Linked DNA regions of Notamacropus eugenii. The protein of the gene in region 1 interacts with the protein of each later gene in a pairwise test. Links are inferred from orthologs where the notes say so. Each region holds a gene or a part of one and is shown in the gene's direction. Other genes may lie near its edges.

Region 1 (8,912 bases):
TCTTTACATAATGGAGTGTATATACCAAAAAAGTATGCACATCCAACATTTACTGACAATAAATCATAAAGAAATAAACAACTCTTTGACATACATATAATTTTTACCATTTAAAAAAAGACAATAATCTTATATCTGAACCAAGGTGTTTCTGGGCAGTGTTTGTTGGCATTGCATGGTGAGACAACACGCACAGTGCAAAGTGGGCACGTTGCGTGTTCAGAATAAAGGCTGCAGTGAAGTCTTGAGGTGTAACACTGGCAAGCACTGCCAGAAACACCTTAGATTCATTACGAGTTTGATTTTGGGGGGTTTTTTTTTGTGAGTTAAGAATTTTTTGGTCGTTGTGAGTTCAGAAAGCTTTTACTGTTGCCAGATTTTTGAATGACACACATTCAGTTACACGACCCCCATATGGGATAGAAACCCATCGTTTAAGAAGGGCTGATTTATGGAGACAGAGAAGAGGGTAATCCATCTCTTTAGTGTCATTTTCTTCAATAAAATCATAGCCCTTTTTGATGCTGAGTCATATGACTGTACCAAAAACTGAGGTGGAGGAATTTTTTCTGGGTTTTAGTAGTTACAGCTCTTGAGAAAGAGGGAATTGAAGTACCTTTACAGAAAGTTGCTCTCCTGCCTTCCAATGGCTTCTCCCCCAAAGCTGGGAAAGACCTGGTTAGAAATAGCACTAACAGCCTAAAGAAGGCTCCTTTTCTTGGGGCTTTTGGGTATATACCTGGCCTTTGCAGGGCAGATGATCAGTCTTCAGTGGTAGTGTTAGTGGCCCTTTCTTGCTAAGGACTGCTTGCTGCCTGTGATGATGACTTGAGGGGAGGGAAGGGAGAGCAGGAGTGCTGCTAGGCCTGACTTTATAAACATTTAGGTAAAGATTTAAAGATCCTTAATTAGCATAAGTAAGTTGTAGGACAATTACAGATCTGTACTAGCAAAGTGGTTTCTTTAAGGGGAAGTTAGGTCCTTATATCAATAAAATCACACATCTAACATAAAAAAAAAAGTTATTCCATCTAATCTAAGGTCAGTGCTACTCTGGAGTAATTAACAGTGTAAATGGATAAATTGACATGAATTTGTCTTATGAAACACAATCATCCCAATTGTTTAAAACAGTGAAACCTCACTGTGCAATATGAGAAAATTCTAATGCTAGCAATATTTTCCTTTCTAAAAAGAAAAATCATAAACATATGTATACATATATTACATATGATTTAACAAATGGGTAACAATTTAAAAATATGGCATTTTTTTTTTCTCCACATGGAAATAGAGGTAATTTCCTCTATTTTGTTCTAGCCAGCTAGGTGGCCCAGTGGATAAAGCACTTAGTCTGGAGTCAGGAAGATCTAGATTCAAATCCAGATTCAGACACTTACTAGCTGTGTGACTCTGGGCAAGTTAATTCACCTGCCTGCCTCAGTTTCATCATTCCTATAAAATGGGAATAACAATAGAATCAACCTCACGGAGTTGTGCAGATCAAATGAAATAATATTTGTAAAGCACTTAATAGTGCCTGGCACATAGCAGGAACTTAATAAATGCTTATTCCCTTTCTTTCGCTAATATTTCATCTACCTTTTTTTAATGCAACTCTTTTAGGTTTAATTACTTAAGTTCATGAGAAAATACTTCACTATACGTATGAGAACATTTTTCTGAACTTGTGGAAAACCATGATGTTTCTAAGCAGGAGACTAAGAATCTTTTCCTTTAGGGATAGAGAGAGAAGCAATAATAAAAGAATAATTTATAAAACAAATTTTTAAAAATTTATACTGTGTTGTAATTCACTTTGCTGATTGATATAAAAAATAAATATAAAATCTTACTTGGACAAAATACAAATGAACCACATTATCTATATTCATAATTCATTTTCAGCTTAAGCGTTTATTGATCATATAGTTTTATGTAAGAAAGGTAGCATGGTAGGTATCCATAGTTACCAAATTAAGATGTGTTCTTTAAAGTAATAAACATTCATATAATGATTTTTAAAATACTTGTATTTAACTAATAAAAATGAAAATCAGTGAAATAAACTTATTTGTATGTTATAGTAGTTACAATCCTTTGCCTTTGTTATTACTGTTCAGTCATTTTTAGTTATGTCTGACTCTTTGTGACCCCATCTGAGATTTTCTCAAAGATACTGGAGTGGTTTGCTATTTCCTTCCCAGCTCATTTTATAGATGAGGAAACTGAGGCAAACAGGGTTAAGTGACTTGGCCTAGGTCACACAGCTATTTGAGGCCAGAGTCTTCTTATCCACTGTACCACCTAGCTGCCCTCATTTGCCTTTAGGTTGTATTAACAAAAGAGCTATAAAAAAAACAGACTCAAGGCAAAGAATCATGGAATATCATAACTGGATAAGGACAGGAGTTGACCTAGACAATACTCTCACCCCACTAAAAGTAAGTAACAGGATACTATGCCTGGAATCCATAACTAGGTAAGAAAATATCTTGTTAATTCACTAGGTATAAACGAGGCCTGGATATTTCTTAAGGTATGACAAGTCATTCTGACTGGTTGAGGGATTTGATCATGCTCCTTAGAAGCAAATGCTTCGGTCTCCTCCTGCCTGCTTGTGACTTGAGGAGGATGCTGTGGACTTTAGAAAGGCATAGATTTTGGACTTTTCAACTAATGCTAGCACATCCCCAGGATAGCAAGAGCTGACATCAGTTATATACACTGGGAGTCAAAGACAAGAGGAGGAAAGGCAAACTCCAGCTTCTACAAAGAGCCCAACAGAAAAGCTATACCAAACTTAACGGGGATATCTTGAGGACTCTAGCAAATGAACTTCCAGGATATGTGGGTTACCCCTTTGCCACATGTGTGTTCTAAGGCTGAGCTCATCTTCCCCTAGATCAGAGGTAGCAAACCTGTGGCCTTCAGACTACTTGTGGCCACCTAGGTCCTTGGGTGTGGACTTTCAAATAAGTCTGGATTCAGTCAAAGAATCAAATTTGAGGAACCTAGAAAGCCACAAGTGGTCTGGAGGCTGCAGTTCCCCACCCCTGCCTTAGACTCTGTATGTAATGGTGGTCTGAAAGTGTGTCAAAGATTTGGTGGGGGGATATTTTGTAAAAACTGTACCAGATATACCACTCTAGTAAATACCTGTTTCTAATAGCTAATTACATCTGGCTGACTATTCAATATCAATGGCTCATCACAGAAGTAAAGAAGTAAAGATACTATTGGGAGCTGATTAACTTATAGAATTACAAAGATAACCCTTATGCCCTCTCTCTTGCTAATTCCAGTGATGGGTTAAGACAGTGGCTCCAAAGTATGTACTATATTACTCTAAGGGATCTCAGCGCTCATAGTAATTTAAATCATTTTACATACTAGGAAACAAGTCCCAAAAGGTGATTTGGTGCAGAGAAGCTAGTGGCAGGGCTGTGACTAGAATTTTCAAGAAGTTTAAATAAGGCACTCATAAAAGTACTGGCTTACAGATTTTTCAAGTAGTACTAAAGTTTAAAGTTTGCTGGGGTAGAGGGGGGTATACTCTGGGAAAGAAGTGAGGTAGGTAATTCACAAAGCAAAGTAAAATCCTAGATAGCACCTTAAGTGGTATCAATTTTACTAATAAAACAATCATTCAAATGCACAACTGACTGTGGAATCTACTTGATTTATCTGAATGCAACATAAGCAAATACATTCAAGTGGTCACAATTTCAATAGGTGAGAAATTAATGAAAAGCACTGTATTTTCAGTTAAAAGTTATATCTACAACTTAGAGAACTGCACTCTAGTATCCTGTTACTCAGCAATATCCACTACTTATAAAACACTGCATATAAACTAATTTTCCTCTCAATCCTCCCCAAATTCATCATTGCATTCCTGCATATTATTCGAATGGGAACAAAGACTTCTTGAAACTAAAGTCCTTTAACCCACAGGATGGAATTTATAATTTTCTTCATTATTATTACAGCTGTTTGATTCCTTTGATGTCCTTGTCACCAAAAACCATCATACAGCTGGATCACTGACTAACCCTGAATAATTGAAAACTGAACTCAGTGCAATAAGATAGTTATCTTCATCTCCTCCACCCGGATGCCAAAACTAAGAACGGCACAGTGAAGACTTTCAATAGCCTAGTTGTCAGATCCCCTGACTTCAGAGTTATATTTATACATGTGTGTCCCTGATACAAATCCACCTTATAATTTTTTAATGGTGTTTGGGGAAAAGAGCTCAGAAGTATGGGAGGTTTCTCAGGAAAAAAAAGAGAACACCTTAGAGCTTAAAAAGTCAAATGACATTAAAACCTAAGCCTAACACATTCCTTGTCACTGTACACAAATTATCCAGAAGTCCAAGCCCACGTTGCATTAATTCTTCCTCAGCAGGGCAGCTACGAGGGCAGATCAAAGGAGGTTTTTGACTCAAAACATCCCGATCTCCTGGACACTGATCCCCCAGGAAGGAGCAAAGGGCAGTTTGGTGACTGGAGGCTGGAGGGCATGTGAGGACCGTATCTTAAGGAAGGCAACTGATTAAGATACAATTTGAGGTCAGAACCCAGCACCCATTTACGACGATGCCACGCAAGATCACGGTCAAAAGCAATTCTAGCGTTCTCAGAAATGACGAGGCAAGCAAAGAAAGTCTCCCTCATTCCACTTCCCTATTACCATGACGACGGGAAGGGGAAGGCCAACGAGAGGCAGGCCGGCCCGTAGACTGTGTAAGCGTATCCCGGATAGGGATGCCCATTAGCTGGGTCAAGGTCAGGGCCCACAGATGCGGAGATCCACCCCGCCCCCCTCCCCCCCAAAACAAAAACAAACTGAACACTAGTGGTGGCTCTCCATCACGGCCACAACTCCCTCGCTTTCTCTCTTTTCTCCCTCCTACGATGAGAAACTCGGGGTAACGGAGTTGTTCACCCTTCCAACAGGAAAAAGAGGACGGTCCTGGAGGAGACCTTTCCTCCGCCGGCCCCAACTCCCGAGCACCCCACCCCCTTGCACCCGGGGCAATGCCACACACAAGATGGCAGCCACACACCTACCGGAGGGAACCGCGGCGCCACGGCTGCAAGGATGCCGGCTCCCCGACTGCGGTTGATTCTATTGGCTTAACCCCGGAGCGCGAGACAATCCGAGACTGGACATAACCAATCAGGCGCCGGGGAGCGAGCGTACACTTGGGAACCGGGCCGGAGCATGACAGAAGCCTTCCGCGGGCTTCGGAAGCCCGTACGTAACCAGTCGAGGGGTGTGGCAAACGGAAGAGCAACCAATGGCCGCTTCTCTTGGAGGCGCCGGATGGGAGACCCAGACTCCGCCCATTTCGGCTTTAGCCTTAGGGATGCCCGGGGATGCTCGGAAGCGCGTGTTCCGTTCCCGGTGAGGCGGGAATCTAGCGATTGTAGGTATCCGACGGGAATTTGAAAAAAAAAAAAAAAGGCCGAGGAATCCTCCCGGTGGAGGTGTGCCGGAGGGTGGTGGGGGCTACGCCCGGCGCCCCGCGGATGGGCAGGGAGCCAGGCCGCAGGTCGGAAGGAGGTGGCCAGATTAGACACCTTGATCGACCCGGCGGCGGAAAGACTTCTCCGTTCCGGAATTGCGGCGTCGTCTTTCCTCCCGCGCTGCTCTCCCACGGGGTCACGCCGCTTGCGGCTGTTACCGGAGGAGGCAGGGAGAGACCGGCCTGGGCCAGCCCGGGGGAAGCCCGGATCCGGCCGGCCGACTCGCGGGGATGTGGGCCAAACGGGTTCTCTCGTGGGAGCGTTCAACCGGGAGTGCCCAGTCCCCGCGCCGGCCGCTGCAGGGGCGCGGGGTTCTCCCTGACCCCCTTCTCCCCCGCCTCCCCCTGTCTGAATTGAGCCCACGTGTGGCGGGAGACTGCGCCTCGTTCGACTGAAGCCCTGCTCCCCGCTCCGGGCCCCAGGGGCATGGAAACGCAGCCTTGGGCTTGTTGGAACCAAGGAAGCGCTGGGGTCCGGGAGCCGTCCAAGCCAAGGCTGCAACCCAGACCAAAGTGTCTTTACACCAAACTTGTCGAGGGGTCGTTTGCAGGCCTTGACCCCTGTAGTCTTTCTTCACTTCCCCCAAAAGGAAAGCTTTGAAGCAAAAATAATACATTTCCCTTTTAACTGCTGCCATAGGGAAGCAGCCTTCTAAGGAGTAGGAGCCCCTAGGAAAGGGAGATAACTCGATCTATATGCCCCAATAGTGGTAAAAGGAATGACAGTGGTAAAAAGGTGTCACCAGTTCTTGTATAAAAAGAAAAAATGTGCTTGGTCCTTTGACATGTTCTTCAAACCTTTCGGTTTAACATAGTAAATAAAAGAAATAGCAGTTTTCTCTTACTTATGGAAAGAATGACCCTCTAGTAAAACCTAGTAACATTGCTTTTTCTTATAGGTATGTTTCTGCCACTAAGTATGGCAATGGGGACCTGATCAGAAAATTGCCAGATATTATTTCTTGAAGGGGAGATGACAGTTGTGCTCGGTTATTTAACGGCTTTGGTATTGAAAAAAAAAGTTTGAATTTAAGAAAGTTGTGGGGCTGCAAGTTGGAAGCCCATCAGAAATTTAAATAAGATTGTTTTGGCCCTTAATTATATTTTATAAAAGAATTGCATTTTTTTAGTTGACCTGAAACTACAGGTTAAATAATAATGTTCATTTTCATAGTGCCTTATAGTGTTGTCCTTTGGACAAAACCTGTAATATAGTTATCGAAAGTATCCTTACTCATCTTTGAGATGGAACTGGAACTTTGAGAAGTCTAACAACTTCTCTGCAGTAACATAGCTACTTAGTATTTAGATAGACTTTTAACTCAGTTCTCCTGATTCCAAATTGGATACACTAACCACTATAAGTAACATGCCAATTCTTAGATGTCAAAACTTAAGTACGCCTTGCATTTTGGGTGCAGAAATTCCCTTTAATATTTTTGAAGTTGAAAAGTCATCTTTGAACATTAAATAAGATGGCAAAAAATGAATATGTAAAGATTAGAAAAATTAATTTAGGAAGCTGTGTTAAAACTGACGCTGATTTCTTTAGAAAGAAAAATTAGCCATGCAGTTGAGGGTGCCATGAGTATTCCTCATTTGGAATTGAAGCAAACCATCTCTAAATATCCCTAGAACATCTAATATCCTTTGGTTTATTGTAGATTTCAATGAAAAAGACTTGATTTATATATATTTTATCTTAAACATTCTGTGATCAAATAACTATGTATTTACTCATTTAAATGTGTTCTCCTTTTAAAAAAGGAAATGAAACCAACTACAGATTCAGTTGAAACCAACCTGTTTAATTACTGTATCCTGTATATGCAAAGTCACTGGGAGAAAATTTTTTGTGTACAAATTATAGTTCAGTAGTTTCAGGTATGAATAACCCAATTGAAAACATTGTAGGAATTCCAACTGTACTGTGATTCTGTGACTTTTATTATACCCTTTAAAAATGATTTATCAACTCTGCATTTTTCAGATGTGTACTCTTTTTCCTTGTTTTCCATATAGAGTGTTTTACTGATTCATGGATGCAAAGAATGAAAATGTTTTTATCATGAAGAAAGTTCCTATTTAATTTGCCTACTTTTGGATCAAGACTTGGAAGTATAACTTGAAGTCAACATGGAATTTGAATATTAATCACCTCTGATAGTTCCTTTTATCATGATTTCCAGTCTGAAAATTAACCAGACTAAGCTTATCAAAAGGCATTGGATCCAGAATAGGAAAAATGAGAGAGAAATGTTGTCTAATGACTGCCAGTGCCTTGGAGGAGGGAATATAGGAGCCAAAGTTGGATGCTAGTTATGTTTTCAAATTATAATCAGTGTTTCCTCTGATGTCCCTATAAATCTCATCCTGAAGAGGTTCACATACTTCAACAGCTGCTGCAGAAGATGGAAGAAAGAAATGGTAAGTTGAACAAAATGATTAACTTAGAAAAAGCTTTTAGAATGCTTTTGGAAGTATACGTGATTTCAGCTTGTGGAACTTCTACCGCCAACCTTCTTAATGGCTTGGTACCACTAGTTAAAATACAGTATGATAGAAAATGATACAACAAACATAAATTTAAGTGCTTACAGTGTGCCAGGCATGCAGTCTTTCTTGGCTGAGAATGACCATTCTAAATTAGATGGCTTTTAAGCACGCTTAACAAACGCTTTTTTTTTTTTTTTGAACACTTTTAAGTAATCAGAGTGAGGAAGACCTGAATTCAAATTTAGCCTCAAACACTTCTAGCTGTGTGACCCTGGACAAATCCCTTAACCTCTTTCTGCCTTAGTTTCCCCACCTGTAAATAGTGATAATAAGATCACCTACCTCCCAGGGTTGTAGTGAGGATCAAAGGAGATACTTGTAAAGTGCTTAGCACAGTCCAGCACAGCATAAGCACTTAATAAATGCTAGCTATCATTATTATTACTATCCTTATTATAATGTCTATAAAGTGCTTAGCAGAATACCTGACACCTATTAGGGACTGTATAAAATGCCTCTATATAAATGTACTATATAAAACCCTCATACTACTTACTTTAATCAGTCAATAAACAAATACTGTTTGGTGCTTACCATTTTCTAATCCCTGTGCTAGGAATACAAAGACAAAAAAGAAATAATCCTTGACTCCAGGGAGCTTACATTGTATCAGGGAAAACAACGTGAACATAAAGATACAGAGAAGAAAATGGGGGAGGGGAGACCTTGCAACTGGGGAATCAGGATAGGGGGTGGTACTTGAGCTGAACTTTGACAGAAGCTAGGGATTCTTGAACTGGCCATGAGGAATGAGGGCATGGAGCAAAACAATGTATGAAAACATGAAGACAGGAGATGGAATGTTTCAGAATGTTTCAAG
Region 2 (8,720 bases), on another chromosome or scaffold:
CCAGAGAATAACTGTCTTTTTTTATTTTATATTCCCAATTTGCAAAAAGTGACATAAAAGAAAGCACCAATGATGTCAATTAATCCATCAACAAGCATTTATTAAGCACCTACTATGTTCTAAGTACTGCATTAGAGAGAGTGTGTGAATATAAATGTAGAAGTAAAACTAGTCCCTGATTTATACTCTACTGGGAAGAGATGTAACATATTCATACATATGTATAAGAAACTCCGCAGTGATGGTGTTGAGAGCAGTAACAAGGGAGAGAATCAGGAAAAACCTGGAATATACAATGTAAATTCCTTGAGGGCAGGATGGGACTATCTCATTTTTAATTTCACATCCCAGCAATTAGCATAATGCCTAGCACATGTTAGGTATTTAATAAGTGTTTGTTGATTAATTGAATTTGAGCCGAGCTTTGAAGAGAGGGAGGGACTCCAAGAAGAGCATAAGGATGACCAGAAAAAGAAGGTGGCTAATCATGTGACTCATTACAGGTCCAACTTTTTCATTGCCATCCACAAAATATTAAAAGACTCAGAGCAAGGCTACTGGTATACCTGGAAGGCCTTAGGATCAGACTTATGTCTGGAAAGGACCTTAGAGTAGACCCTAGCCTAATCCCTTTGTATTACAGATGAGGTAAGTGATCAAGATCACTCAACCCAAGATCATTCGACCGTTAATTGTCTGAAGTAGGTTTTGAACTCAAGTCTTCCTGACTCCAAGTCCAGTGTTCTACCACATGAATGTTCTATGGAATTGTTGTGATCATTGGCACTATTGTTTTTAAATGGATGAAAGCACAAAAAGTACAAAATGAGGAGGCAGAGAAGACTTTCCATCTGGACCAGTAGAGACTGTAATTATCCCTAGACCTACTACTTCTACAAATGTGATTGTTGCTTAATAAATGTTGAATTGAATCCAGTTGAGTGAATAGCTTAGATACTACAGATAATAGTAAAGACTCCTTATATAGTAAATAGTATTAGTAGAATTCAAGATCCCCAAGGACAGGATAAGTCTCACTTTTGATTTGTAACCTCAGCACATAGCATAGTTCCTGGTTCATAAAAGGCACTTTGTAAGTGTGTGCTGAAGAGCAGCTAGTGGCTCATTGGATAGAGTGCCACACCTGGAACCACTCATCCTCCTGAGTTCAAATTTGGCCTCAGACTCTTCCTAGTTGTGTGATCCTGGGCAAGTCACTTAACCCTTTTTGCTCAGTTTCCTCATCTGTAAAAATGAGCTGAAGAATGAAATGGCATATCACTCCAGTACCCCAGTATCTTTGCCAAGAAAACCCCAAATGGGATCACAAAGAGTTAGACATGATTGAACAACAATGAAAATCTCATGAAAAAGGAGTGACAGAACATGAAGAAGACTTGACAAAAAACCATGCTCTGTTCTCCCTCTGGTGGTTCTCAAGCAACACTGCACCTCAGCCCTGAAGCAATATCCCCTCAAAGTTGTGTACTTGGTGGGACCTTCTATTTAATTGCACCTCTCCCATTAGAATGCCCAGACTATCATAATGGGGAGGGGGCAAGAGGGGAGCAGAGAAAACCCATGGAAAATGACAGAGATGCTATACTGTGACAGAAGGAACAGGAAAGGCAAAAACACTAGAGCTGAAGATAGAATCTCATCTTTCTATGAGTATATGAGGGAAAATTGAGGCGACTGGATTGATTATATCCTTTGTTGTTTCTCTAAGGCTCATTTGCCCTGCTGTTTAAGTTTTTGACCTAAGTAGTAATAAAATAAGTAGTAATAAAAGCATGGACTCAAAATCATAGTAAATTCACATAATCTTAAAGTCACAATGGACCTTAATATAGCCCTTTAAAATTTACAAAGTGGTTTATCTCATTTTCGCCTCACCACGATTCTGTGAAGTAGCTCTCAGAGATTACTTCATTTTAAAGATGAAGAAACTAAGGCCTTTTTTAATCTTTATTTCTTTGGAACTCTCAGGACCTTGGACAGTCACCCTTATCTCCTTGATACTGCTCTCTTCCATCGAGGTTTCTCTGTCACTACTCCACCCTAGTAACCCTCCTCCCAACAAGACAACTCCTCAGTTTCCTTTGCTAGATTTTCATCCAGGCTACACCCATTATTTTATATGTCCCAGGGACTCTGTCCAGGACCCTCTTCTCTTCTCTCTGTGTATTAGCTCACTTGGTGATGTCATCAGTTCCCATGGATTCAATGATCATTTCTGTGTGAATGATTCTCAAATCTACTTATCCATCTCTAACCTCTCTGCTGAGCTCCAGACTTACATCTCCAACTGCCTATTGGACAGCTTGAAGTTAGATTCCTACAGATATCTTAAACACAAAATATCCAAAACTGAACTCATGTTCAACTCCTCCCCTGTTCCAAACTTCCCTATTACTGTAAGCAATAGCGTCAAACTCAAAAATAGAAATGCAGACCCCTAAACCATACATAAGGATCCTTACAGGTTGAATATTGACTTAGAAAAACCACACAATTTTGTATTTCTTTTTTATGAATACATTAAAATAGAATAAGAACTACATTTTAATCTGGTTCAGTCCCAACATGGCGCCAGATATTGGACATCTCTGCTGGACCATCTTCCTAGTCATCCAAGCTCACAACTCACCCAGTCTTACAGTTTGGGTATCATCTCACTCTCTCTCACCCCTCTATATCCAATTGTTGTCAAGTCTCGTCAACTTCATCATCTTTTGTATATGCCTCTTTTCTCCTCTGACACTACCATCACCCTAGTAAAGGCCCTCAGCACCTCACATCTGGACTATTACTGTAACCTTTGGTTGGCCTCTCTGCCTCAAGTCTCTTCCCACTTTTGCCCTTCCTCCTGTCAGCTTACCAAACTGACCTTCCTAAAGTGCAGGTTGGAAAATGTCACCTCCCTACTCAACATACTCCAGCAGCTTCCTATCACCATCAGGATCAAATATAAAATCCTCTGTTGGGCATTTTCTCTGGCTGTCTCCCATGTCTTGAATTCTCTCACTCCTCACCTGTCTTCTGACTTTCCTGGCTTCCTTCAAATCCCAGTCTAAAATTCCGCCTCTTACAGGAAGCCTTTCAGGGACTCTTAATTGTAGTACCTTTCCTGTTGATTATTTCCCAATTATCGTGTGGGTATGTGAATGTGAGTGTGTGTGTGTGTGTCTGTGCATCTTGTTTGTACATACCTATTTGTTTTCTCCCCCATTAGACTGTGAGCTCCTCAAGGGTAGGAACTGTCTTTTTCCTATCTTTGTATCCCCCTTACTTAATATAGTGCCTAACACAGAGTAGGTACTTAATAAATACTTGTTGACTGACTGAATCTATAACCAGCACAGCCATGACTAGCAATTCTGCCCAGGGAAAGCAACATAAAAGTATTCTCAAATCTTTTAAAAGTTCAGAGGTAGCTAGGTGACTCAGTGGATAGAGTACTGTCTCTGGAGTTAGGAGGACCTCAGTTCAAATCTGGCCATTTTTTCAAAATAGAATATTCATGTTTAGTTATATAACCAACACCATGTGTCTAGTAAAAACTATGAATTCCTTAAAATATTTTTATTGCATAAAATTCATAAAATTACAAGGGAATTTTGAACAATTCATCGCTCAGAAACACAATGTCCCAATAGCTCATGAAGCCTTCCCTTCTCCTCTCCACTTTCACTTTCTTCAGGATTCAGTTAAAGTCCCACATCTACGCAGCACTTTCCTTGAAATGGGAGCCTAGCCTGTGGTTAATCTCTTCCTTCTGTGGTAGCCTGGAACAAGCAGTGTTGTCATCAGCTCTTTTTATGAGTGTTTGCAGGGCATCCATGCGCTCAGAAGAGTAAAGGGATGACCAATACCTTCTCTCCCCTCAGTCACCTGCCCAAAAAGGTGTGGACTCCTTGTGCAAGGTAAGAACTGAAGACCTGGGTCTCCCCTGATTTAGTCAATTGGCCTTTGTTGAGGAGGAAAGTGAGGCTCTCTGCCTGAAAGGCCCATTCATGACAGAGTTCACACATGTGGACTTGGCCTTTTAAAGAAGGGTGGGAACCTATCAGATTCAGAGAAGGGAGGTACAGCAAGAGAGGAAAAGGGAAGGAAGAGAAGGAGGAAGAGAGGAAGGGAGGGAGAGAGGGAGGGAGGGAGGGAGAGAGAGAAGGAAACGAATGAGGGAGAGAGGAAGGGAGGGAGGGAGGGAAAGGAAGGAGGGAGAGAGGAAAGGAAGAAGGGAGAGAGGAAGGGAAGGAGGGAGGGAGAGAGGAAGGGAAGGAGGGAGAGAGGAAGGGAAGGAGGGAGAGAGGAAGGGAAGGAGGGAGAGAGGAAGGGAGGGAGGAAGGGAGGGAAGGAAAGGAGGAAGGGAGGGAGGGAGGGAGGGAGGAAGGGAGAGAGGAAGGGAAAGAGGAAGAGAGGAAGGGAGGGAGAGAGGGAGGGAGGGAGGAAGGGAGGGAAGGAAAGGAGGAAGGGAGAGAGGAAGGGAAAGAGGAAGAGAGGAAGGGAGGGAGAGAGGGAGGGAAGGAGAGAGAGAGGGAGGGAGGGAGGAAGGGAGAGAGGGAGGGAGGAAGTGAGGGAAGAAAAAGAAGAAGGGAGAGAAGGAAAGGAACGAGGGAGAGAGGAAGGGAAAGAGGGAGAGAGGGAGGGAGGGAGGGAGGAAGAGAGGGAGGGAGGGAGGAAGGGAGGAAGGGAGGAAGGGAGGGAGGGAGGAAGGGAGGAAGGGAGGGAGGAAGGGAGGGAGGGAGGAGGAAGGAAATGCTTGAATGAGTGAATCTGTGAGTAAAGGAAGGAATGAACGAACGAGTGAGGATCCTGACTGCAGGATGAGGCCCCCGGGCCTCGGACCACTGAGGGGCAGAGCTCCCGGGGAGATCGGGCCCGCGCCACTTCTCCGGCCTGCGCCCGCCTCGCCCGCAGATCGGGCCTGGTCCCCACCCCCACCCGCGGGCCTCCTGGGTCCTCCTGACCTTCCCAAGATGGCGGCCGCGCCGCGGCCGCTCTAGCCACGCCACGCCACGCCCCCCGCGCCCTCTCGCTGGTCACGTTGGCGACGTCCCTCTAGAAGAGCCGCTCTAGCGAGCGCGCGACGTCTTCTCGATAGCGGTGGGCGGTGCGAGCTGGTCGTGTTGCTGGTTGCTACGTGCGGAGCAGTTGTTTCATGGCTGCGGCGGGCCCGGGGGCTGAGGTGCGGGGGACGGCGCGGCAGGAGCCGGGACGGGCGCCGGGCAAGGTACTGGACGGAAGCCGAGGCAGAAGAGCGGTGAGGGCTTCGGGGCCCGACCACGAGGGCGGGTCTCAGGCCTAGGAGGGCCGGGAGCCGCCTCGGGCTGGGGCGAGGGGTGGGGAGAGAATTGGGAAGCCCGCGGCCCCGGGCTCGCATCCAGGTCCCGCCGCGTCCTCGCTCCCGAGGGCCCTCGGGTGTGTCCTTGCGCCCCTGCCCCACCTTTCCGCAGTGCGGAGGAGCCTCCGGCTCTGCAGTCGGGGACACGCCCGCGACCAGCTCGGGCGAACCGGGGGCCGGGGGGGCTTGGGTTCGGATCCTCCTCGGTGCCTGGGCCCCACGGTGCTCCCGCCTGTAAAACGGGGAGGCTTGGTTACAAGATGGCCCCCAGGCTCGCACGCCTGGCGAATGGGGGGGGCGCCCTTTGTTTACTCTGCAGCGCCACACCCGTCGGACTCTTAACGGCGGGCCCCGCTGTGTTGGGCCACTTTTAGCTCAAGGTTTTTGGGGGGCGTCTTGGTCGATAGGTCCATTAAACGCCACACACACCCCCACGGGAGAAGACGCACCAAGATGGCGGAGGGGGAGGGGAGCCGAGCCGTGGCGTCCCCCTGCGGGGTGTGTAACGGTACCCCCAAACTCATCGTGCCCCCCTCCCCCATGATGTCGGGAGCGGCCGCGGACCCTCAGAACGGGTTTATTTTAACTACGCGTTCTGAAATTGGAACGTTAGTAGAAAATGGGCAAGATGGTGGAAGCACCAAAATGGCCGAGCCGGGGGCGTGGCCGAAGGTTTGGTGCAATGAGGTCATGCTGCAGAGTGCCGCAGTGGGCGGGGCGGGGGCGGGGCCTCGGGAGAAAGAGGCGGAGGGGCGGGGCCCGGGTAAGGCCCGCCCCCCAGACTGCGGCTCGGAGCCTCGCCCTTGGTTTTTGGGTAATCCGTAGGTGAGGACGATCTGGCCTCCGGTCTTAATTCAGGAATGTCGGGAGGGTTTTTTTTAATAGCCGAATTGTGAACGAGGAAAGAGAAGTTTTAATGGGAGCCCTGCGGGTGTCTGTAGGGAGCGGGGCGGAGGGAATGGAGCCGTCAGTGTTTGCTCCTGCTCCCCAGGGGGCGGGAGGCGGCCGGAGAGGGCTTGGGTTTGGGGTGGGGTGTGTCCCGTCCCCCCCCAGGTTAGGAGATGGAGAGTCTGATAATATGGGGGATGTGGGCGGGGCCAGGCGCCGCAGCCGAGGGGGTGGAGGTGCCGCAGTCTTCTGTTGGTGATTACGTCATTGGGCGGAGAGGGTGAAGAAGAAGAAAGGGTTGGAGGACCCGGTGTAGGGATTCGGAATGGAAGGCCGGTGCCTTAGTGAAACGCCAGCGAGACTGAGGGTGAGGGTGAGAGACTGGTGAGAAAGGGGTTCCCAGGATGTCTGCATTAGAAAGAAAGACGGGAAATGGGGAGCGCAACCAGAAGATTCGCCTTAGCTTAGAGGACAGAAATGGGGACCACAGGTGAGCGGGCGCTGTTGGAGAACGGCTACTTTTACCCTCACGCCTACGTCACAAAACATAGGCCAGGAGAAAATGCAGACTAACCTGGGGGGGCAGAAAAAGGAGTTTTCTCCTTTGATTGTTAGATATCACCTCTCACCAGTGTTAGAAAGATGACCATGATACGCAGTGTTCAACCCCTTTTTGTCCTCTGCCTGGATCATTATGCTCTTCTGAGTGAACATCTGTGTCTTTGAGGAGACTCGGTGAAATAAGAATTAAGTGTATCTTTAGATTGGAATTCTGCAAAATCTTACCCTTTTATAGTCTCGGAGGGGTGGGGAGGGCCTCTGTAGTGGAGCCAAAGAGTAATAGAGTTCATTCATTTAGGAAACCTTTATTAAGCCCCCGTAGAGATAGGCAGGGCTCTGAGCTAAGTGCTGGGAATACGCAGAAAGGCCTCAAAGAGTTCCCAATCTGGTTCTTTCCAGTTGCTACCATTCTCTGATTAAGGTAATAAAGAAGAATCCTCCTGCCGGTTGGTACTGGTATCACATCCTTCATGACAGTGGAGGACACTTGGTTAGCATTTATCTTGCTCTTTGCCATGCCCTGAGTGATGTCAGCAATCAGAGGAGTATTCAAGTTAATGTATGTGGTCATTGCTATTAAGGAGTCATGTGATGTTGGAGTGCCTTTAAACGTTTTTAAAGCCTTTTCTTTATTTGCAGGGGGAAACACCAAATCATTATATTTGCAAAAGGAAAAAAGGTTCTGCATAGTAACATGAAAAATGGCCCTGATATTTTATAGTAGCACTCATAAGCAGATTCTAAAAATGAGTCTTTCATCTTTCCCAAAATAAGTATCTACTTTTGCACATTTTCTTCCCATAGTGCAGAAGTGCTCTAAAGAGATTGTTGTAGACTACAGTTAAGTCTGTATATTTTAATGCCTTTTAGGAAAATGAGGGTGGTAAATTTACAGTGATAAATCTGCAGAAGGCTGGCAGATTTAGGTTTGAAATTTTAGAAGGCATATAATTCTGCCTCTTGATTTTTTTATAAATTAAAATTAAGTGAAACAAGTTGCCCAAGTTCTGTAGCCAGTAAGTGGGTCTTTACAAGGTTCCTCAAGCCTAGGGTTTTTTGTTTGTTTACTTTCTCTGTTGCTCCAACCACAAGGCATTTTTAAATTCTTTAAACTAAGCAAAACGGGAACAGAAACACAGGTGGTTAACCAATCACAGAAGTTACTCAAAGGTTAAAGTAATTGGCAAAGGAAATTGAAATTTTGTCCCTAAAGTCTCAGCAGTTAGAGTAAACTAAGAAAAAATTCTCAAGAATCATTTAGCATGAGTAATGTGCTCTGGGAAGGCTTTTCCAGCTGTAGTGTGTGACCAGATGTTAGAGGTGAGGTATCCAGTTCATGAGAATTGTCTGTTTCTTTTGCACCAAGGATCCAACAAATACCTACTTCTGAGCAAATATTACACTGAAATCCAGTGATGACATGGGATTGTTGAAGTGATTTTTTTCCTCCGCATTTAGAAATATCTGTGACTTCTACTTAAAATCATCTTCCCAGCTATGTGGAAACTCCTCCAGAGTTGAAGAATCTTTAGGCACATCTTTGTCGTCTCTGTTACGTCCCAAGCTAACTTTTCCTGGTACCATGCATTCGTGCCTACAAAATACTTTCATTGATGAGTGGTCAGGGTGCTATATATCAGGTCAATTTCACTTGCTACCCTTTAGGGCTTTATGGCTTCTCTGACTGACGTTATTTTGGTCGTATTCCGCTACTAAAATCACTTGACCATAATAGTCATTCAGTTTCAGGTTCTACATGAAAATCATAACTGTTCTGGTGGCAACCCTGCTGTCTGAGTGAGTTCAAGATGACCAAAGGGGTTAAGCCATATAGCTATAGCAGAGCCCCACTTTCCTCTTGGACAGCCAGCCACCACTATATAATAGGGTGCTTTTTTAAATTGTCACCTCACCTCTAGTGAGC

The links.
Region 2: the proteins of SETDB2 (region 1) and ARL14EP interact in binary tests that used the Homo sapiens proteins (3 or more experiments, as listed by UniProt). The two-hybrid records come from large-scale screens. The link is inferred for Notamacropus eugenii from reciprocal best matches to the Homo sapiens genes SETDB2 and ARL14EP.

The regions. Positions count from the first base shown.
Region 1 is NC_092876.1:107,012,667-107,021,578, reverse strand, and holds the start of SETDB2 (histone-lysine N-methyltransferase SETDB2), read left to right. Parts: upstream 1-5,237; 5' UTR 5,238-5,437; intron 5,438-7,558; 5' UTR 7,559-7,947; coding exon 7,948-7,963; intron 7,964-8,912. UniProt on the Homo sapiens protein: Histone methyltransferase involved in left-right axis specification in early development and mitosis. Specifically trimethylates 'Lys-9' of histone H3 (H3K9me3).
Region 2 is NC_092877.1:21,033,797-21,042,516, reverse strand, and holds the start of ARL14EP (ARL14 effector protein), read left to right. Parts: upstream 1-5,085; 5' UTR 5,086-5,236; exon of another isoform or gene 5,237-5,266; intron 5,267-5,757; exon of another isoform or gene 5,758-5,845; intron 5,846-6,126; exon of another isoform or gene 6,127-6,172; intron 6,173-6,424; exon of another isoform or gene 6,425-6,725; intron 6,726-8,720.